Linked DNA regions of Drosophila melanogaster. The protein of the gene in region 1 interacts with the protein of each later gene in a pairwise test. Each region holds a gene or a part of one and is shown in the gene's direction. Other genes may lie near its edges.

The links. Proteins that work in one complex are often made in the same cells at the same time.
Region 2: the proteins of Or9a (region 1) and Fkbp12 interact in a two-hybrid assay, tested with the Drosophila melanogaster proteins (one large-scale study listed by BioGRID).

The regions. Positions count from the first base shown.
Region 1 is NC_004354.4:10,457,590-10,461,484, reverse strand, and holds Or9a (odorant receptor 9a), read left to right. Parts: upstream 1-1,808; coding exon 1,809-2,145; intron 2,146-2,207; coding exon 2,208-2,473; intron 2,474-2,548; coding exon 2,549-3,070; intron 3,071-3,245; coding exon 3,246-3,299; downstream 3,300-3,895. Other genes in the region: Neb-cGP, read right to left, coding at 332-403, 489-563. UniProt on the Drosophila melanogaster protein: Odorant receptor which mediates acceptance or avoidance behavior, depending on its substrates. The odorant receptor repertoire encodes a large collection of odor stimuli that vary widely in identity, intensity, and duration.
Region 2 is NT_033778.4:19,288,270-19,291,514, forward strand, and holds Fkbp12 (FK506-binding protein 12kD), read left to right. Parts: upstream 1-1,839; 5' UTR 1,840-1,919; coding exon 1,920-1,956; intron 1,957-2,116; coding exon 2,117-2,187; intron 2,188-2,248; coding exon 2,249-2,467; 3' UTR 2,468-2,693; downstream 2,694-3,245. Other genes in the region: AANATL6 (arylalkylamine N-acetyltransferase-like 6), read left to right, coding at 1-382; AANATL4 (arylalkylamine N-acetyltransferase-like 4), read left to right, coding at 857-1,531; mip40 (Myb-interacting protein 40), read right to left, coding at 3,025-3,245. UniProt on the Drosophila melanogaster protein: PPIases accelerate the folding of proteins. It catalyzes the cis-trans isomerization of proline imidic peptide bonds in oligopeptides.

The DNA.
Region 1 (3,895 bases):
CACTGGACGCAAGCTAATCTCTCTCTCTTCTAGAACCACTTATTATTACTTTTAGCCCGGTTGCGTATGCATTGCCGTGAGTACCTTGCAGCCCATAGATCGGTGTGGTTAGGGTATCCACCGCAGTGATGCCCACAAATCATGTGGCAGTCGCAGGATCGTTACATAATGCACTTCGTGGGTACAGTGTGTTACATTCTCAGCTTATTTATTCCTTCAAGGTCTTGCACTACACATAAAATAAACTGATCCGCAGTCCAGCGATGGCCCCGGATCCAAGACATCGATTGTGGCGGATGAGTTGTAGCCGCGTTGGAGCAGTTGCATCCCTCTACTTCTTCTTGGGCTTCAGCACCTGGTAGGCGATCAGCAGGCCCATCACGGCGTACGTGGCCTTGGCCACCTGGACAAGGACGGGATAAATGGATGGCATAACAATCGGATTAGCATTACCACGGGCACGACGTTCTGGAATTTCATCTACTCACATTTGCACGGCCGCTCATGGTGGTGCCATTGAAGATTTTCGACAGGCCGGTCAGTTTCTCGCCTTCGCCAGCCATTTCTGTGAATTGAAGGTGATGCGTTTCAAGTGGAACTTAGTGAATGGCTGAAGCGGTAACTTGGGCTACTCACTTAAAGGTTTATTTGCACGGAATTCGAGCTGCTAGTTGCCTGTAAAAAATATTTGCGAGCAGAGGTTATACAACTGAGTCTATCGAGGTCTATCGGTCTTCGATAACAGAAGGGTATGCCAGTCGTTGCTCATCGATACTATCGAGCTGGGCGAACAGTGTTGAAAGTGCCTGACCTGCCAACTGGCTGCAAATAAATTTCAGCTGACCATCATTGTCGGTGTGTTAGTCAACACTAATGAACACAATTTGGCGGGACAATTTGAAATATTGAATAATATTAATAAATATTAAATAAACAATATATATATATTTCCTAAATCATACAGTAACTAAAATTTATATTTATTTCCATATCATAACTTGTAACAATATATTCACATAACATATAATACCAAAAATATACTTTAATATTATAAACTAAATAGACTTAATCCTGGACGGCAAAACAAACTTTACTTTGGTCCACAAGCCATCGGACGGCAAATTGTCGAGTCCTTATCAAAAGTCAACGACAGCATTACGAATTGCGAATCTAATTAAGGAGCCAAAAATAGACGCGCCACAACTATTGCTCGTGTCGCTCAAATCTGCACAGACTCATTAAAATTATAATGCACTTCCTGGGAACTAAAGGCTGCCATTTGATTGTCAGGACAAGCGAGTGAAAGGGCCGGCATTAAATAGAATGCGGCGAAAGGCAGAAAAAATCGTGTAATTAGAGCCATAAATGCACTTCAAGTCCACCCAGGTCCACACCCATTTAACCCGCAAACCAATGCACAAAGGAAGCATATTAAATGAAAGTAGTGCCAAATCCTCCGACTCAACAATTAGTGAAAAATCAAAAAAAAAAAATATATATATATATACAGTCCGACCATACTAAACTCGATTCTATGACAAGTTGAACTTGTTGGTATTAAGACAATATTTTAAATAATAAAAAGTTCTACTTTGCTTGTACCTAATCAAAAAAACGCCCATTACATTGAAATATTCTAAAAAAATTCTAAAAAAAGATTGCCAGAGTATCCAAAGATAAGTAAGGAATTAAACAATTATTATTCTTTATGTTCTGAGCTTGACTGCATTTTTGACATGACATTAACTTCCACGCCCCCTCTGTGGAAAGTATAAGAACCCAACGACTGTACAGTCCGCCAGTTAAAGATGAGCGACAAGGTGAAGGGAAAAAAGCAGGAGGAAAAGGATCAATCCTTGCGGGTGCAAATTCTCGTTTATCGCTGCATGGGCATCGATTTGTGGAGCCCCACGATGGCGAATGACCGCCCGTGGCTGACCTTTGTCACAATGGGACCACTTTTCCTGTTTATGGTGCCCATGTTCCTGGCCGCCCACGAGTACATCACCCAGGTGAGCCTGCTCTCCGACACCCTGGGCTCCACCTTCGCCAGCATGCTCACCCTGGTCAAATTCCTGCTCTTCTGCTATCATCGCAAGGAGTTCGTCGGCCTGATCTACCACATCAGGGCCATTCTGGCTAAAGGTAAGTTTCTACTAATTAAAAAAAAATTTATATAACATAAAAATATATTTTATAATTTGCAGAAATCGAAGTGTGGCCTGATGCGCGGGAAATCATCGAGGTGGAGAACCAAAGTGACCAAATGCTCAGTCTTACGTACACTCGCTGTTTTGGACTGGCTGGAATCTTTGCGGCCCTGAAGCCCTTTGTGGGCATCATACTCTCCTCGATTCGCGGCGACGAGATTCACCTGGAGCTGCCCCACAACGGCGTTTACCCGTACGATCTCCAGGTGGTCATGTTTTATGTGCCCACCTATCTGTGGAATGTGATGGCCAGCTATAGTGCTGTAAGTTTCCTAACATACATAAAAAAAAACCAAAAAAAAAGGTGCTTATTACCATTGTAATTTTTCGAATTTAAGGTAACCATGGCACTCTGCGTGGACTCGCTGCTCTTCTTTTTCACCTACAACGTGTGCGCCATTTTCAAGATCGCCAAGCACCGGATGATCCATCTGCCGGCGGTGGGCGGAAAGGAGGAGCTGGAGGGGCTCGTCCAGGTGCTGCTGCTGCACCAGAAGGGCCTCCAGATCGCCGATCACATTGCGGACAAGTACCGGCCGCTGATCTTTTTGCAGTTCTTTCTGTCCGCCTTGCAGATCTGCTTCATTGGATTCCAGGTGGCTGATCTGTTTCCCAATCCGCAGAGTCTCTACTTTATCGCCTTTGTGGGCTCGCTGCTCATCGCACTGTTCATCTACTCGAAGTGCGGCGAAAATATCAAGAGTGCCAGCCTGGATTTCGGAAACGGGCTGTACGAGACCAACTGGACCGACTTCTCGCCACCCACTAAAAGAGCCCTCCTCATTGCCGCCATGCGCGCCCAGCGACCTTGCCAGATGAAGGGCTACTTTTTCGAGGCCAGCATGGCCACCTTCTCGACGGTGAGTTTCCGTAAACATGCCACGTGCCGCAGAAATACACCTGGAGAAACAATTCAAAAAACTAGTACTTCTTTTCATTTTTAATCTGCCAATATGTAGATTTAGATTTTGGAGACATAATACTTGCAAATTTATTAATTAAATATTAAAGTCTGCCTGATATTATCCATTGCAGATTGTTCGCTCTGCCGTGTCGTACATCATGATGTTGCGCTCCTTTAATGCCTAAAAAGGACATCAAAATGTGTCAAAGGAGGCTGCATTTTAAGCAGGTGTGCCAGGTGACAAGGCAGTTTAAGACAAACACAGCTGAAATCGTTCTAAACGTTCTAAGAACAAGCATTGTTCATCAACAATATACATTTATATATATTTATAAAAGATATATATGGCACGGTTAAATATTTATATTAAACCCATAAACCAATTAGAAAAATGTTTTTGTTTTATTTAATTATACAAAAATGTGGCTAAGTGCACTAAGTTTCCAGATAAATTTCGAGGTAAATACTTAACTACAAAGTTTTCAGATTATCGACAATCAGACCGACAAATTCACTTTCAATTTCATTCAACAATTGTGTATTCCCATCTTTGAATCTCCAGCTGCGACGAGCTTGTTGGATTAATTTGTGTTTTATTTTTATAACGAGCCAGGCAAAATACCCAACATTGGGGTGCTGGGAATGAGTTGGGACAAATGTGAAGGCCAGACGTCACTGCCATTCACTGCCACCCATTGCCACCCATCATGACGAGACTTCTTTTTTAAACTTGAGCTGTTTTTCCTACCTCAAAGGAAAATAAGCAAAGTTCAGATGCGAG
Region 2 (3,245 bases), on another chromosome or scaffold:
GGAAGCCGAGGAAATGGAGCCAAATGCTTTGGGTCGCAGCAGGAAATTTATAGCCAAAGTGGAGCGCGAAGCCAACATTTTCGAACGCTTCGGAGTCTCCTCCTACCTGAGTCTGCTGGTCATCTCCGTTCACCCCTCAATGAGGCAAAGAGGTATCTTGGTCATACTTTCCAAATGTCTCTTTAAATTGGGTCGCCTGCGGGGACACACTCTGTTCATCACCAGCGGAACCAATCACTACTCCTCCCGGTCGGCGATGAAAGCGGGATGTGAGTGCATCCATTCGGTGGCCTATGCTGACTACAAGGACGAGTTGGGTCGGCCGATATATAATCCACCAGCGCCCCATACCCACATTCGGGTCTTGGCCTCAAAAATGTAAAAATTAAAATAATTTATTAATTAATTATTACTTTGGCCTTGGCAATTGATAAAGGTCGTCGAGCTGGAAACGCAAGTCCATATGGATCAAATAAAGTAATAAAATGTAGAACGGTCTACTTTATTGTTCAGATATTGTGTTGATTATGTATTTATCGACACATGACCTTGCAATAATTACAAAATCTGATATTAAGTAATCACTTTCCACTCGATGTATTTATCCTCAAAGATTTTGGGTCAGAAAACCATATTCGAAAAATGTTTATTACTAAAAGGATAAGTCAGTCTGGCACTTCATTAAAAATAAAACCAAAAGCCGTTGGAAACAACTTTCTCTTCGCCAAACAGAAACAATCTATAAATATGATAAGCCATTATCAGTGATAAGCGCCGAAGTATAAAAGCCATGTACACATCGGCGTCCTCTTCTGTCTTAAGAAAAGCATATAGAACGAATTAGCTCCGGATCGCGATGACTCCCACGACAATAGATGGCGTCACGATACGCATCATGCGCCCAGAGGATTATGCACAGGTAAAAGCCTATATGGAGGCTGAGTACTACACATCGGAGCCTCTGTGCCAGTCCAGCGGCGAACCCGTTCACCAGCAGAACGAGGAGATCAACGACGCCTTCAACCAGTCGATAATCGCCGAGGGCACCAGCCTTTTGGCACTGGATGAAAACGATGGTGGCCGGATTGTGGGTCTAGTTCTGGCATGTGCCAGTTATCCCGATAATGTGAATGCAGGAACATTGAATTTGAAGCTCGAGAATGTGGAGGATAACGCTTGGGGTCGAATGTATCATTTACTAATGAAGGCCAAGCGCGAAGTCAATCTGTTTGAGCGCTACGACATCCCGAAGGCGCTCTACTCCCACGTGACCAGCGTGGCCTCGTGGAAGAGGGGCAAGGGCCTGGGCTCCCGCCTGGCCGCCACCCTGATGGAGCTGGGCCGATCGAATGGTTTCCCCCTTATGATGGCCTTCTGCACTAGCTTCTACTCCGCTCGCCAGAAGGGGGCCTTGGGCATGGAGTGCATCTATTCCATCGACTACGCCGACTATAAGGACGATGAAGGACGAGTGATCTTCACACCGGCAGCCCCACACACAAAGCTGCGAGTGATGGCAATCAAACTGTGACAGTTGATAACAAATAACTGAGTCGAGGAATTTAAATAAATTATATAACTATAGTTATGTTTATTTAATACTTAGCACACTTTTGGGGGACCTATACAAGTTGACCAATGACCAATGTGTCTCGGACTTTAAGATAAGAGGCAAGATCTTGCACTGCTTTATTCTTTCGGTTCATAGTAAACAATTCAAACGGACGCGCCAAAATACAAAAACGTCCTTATCGATAACTCGGAAAGCAATTGGTTTTGATAATTAATCAAATTGATGTGTGCGATAGTTTCCGCTCACCGACCATCGCCCACCGCTAGCTGTCATTCGGCGACGCGACGAACTGAAATCAACGTGCTTATTTTCCGCTCGGTAATTTGCCAGAAAAAAACTAATCGAAATGGGCGTACAAGTAGTTCCAATTGCTCCTGGTGATGGTGAGTATCCAATGATTGGGTTAGAATCCGCAAGAAATGCCGTAAACTACCGGCCTTTCTAACCTATTTAGTGCATTTTCGCAATGCACAATTCGGAAATACCTGCGACAATATGGTCGTCCCGCTCACACACATCCATTTTTGCATTCCCCGCCCGCAGGCAGCACCTATCCCAAGAATGGCCAAAAGGTCACGGTCCACTACACCGGCACCCTGGACGATGGCACCAAGGTGAGTACGAATCCCGATCCTCGCCATCCCCAGCTAATGATCCGCCTTGAATTCCACGCAGTTCGATTCGTCGCGCGACCGCAACAAGCCATTCAAGTTCACCATCGGCAAGGGCGAGGTCATCCGTGGCTGGGATGAGGGAGTTGCCCAGTTGAGCGTCGGCCAGCGCGCCAAGCTGATTTGCTCGCCGGACTATGCCTACGGTAGCCGTGGCCACCCCGGCGTCATTCCGCCCAACTCCACCCTCACCTTCGACGTCGAGCTGCTCAAGGTCGAATAGGCGCACAGGATGCCCAATGTGTATACCCCAAACCAAATCGCAGGGGGTTGCGGACCGGCGCACCGGCGACGAGCCGAAGAACATCATAATCGGAACCAGAACAATCCAGCAGCATTTGCCAACCCAAAATAATAATGATAACTTCATACACAGCTCTAAACTAGAACTAATTTAACCGCAAAGGGAACGCATCTTCTACCAATACAAATAAACATTTATTCAAGTCAATGACAAATGTCTTTCTTATCAAAAATCTTGGGATAATCCAATCAAATCAGCTGCGGTTGCCTTTCCGTGCTGCAATACAAATGCATTTCATATTATTTTTTAATCAGGAAAATATGCAAATATAAAAACGCTTTATCATTCTCTTGATAGACTTGAAGTGGTCTACTTGACAAATTTGATTTTATTTTATATAAGTATATAAAGTGTACAAGCATCTTATTTGCATATATATTCGATTTGGAAACAGGATTTTTTTTAATTCTTTGTGCACAATTAATCCAAATTATTTTTCATTTTCTATACCACTTCCAAAATCACCTAGATACGCTTCAGTTTTTGCAGACCAAGCTCATAATCTTGTCAATAACTTCATATCGCTCCTTTTCATACTTCTTGATATGCTTTATCCAGTGTCCGCGCACTTTCTTCCAGCGGTTCATATTGGAGGACAGAAGATCGGAGGTACTGGCACCTTGGAGAGCCTTTTCCCGCTTCTTGTCCTCCTGGCTGAACTCCAGACGAGGCGGAATTATGGGCAGATCCGTGGACT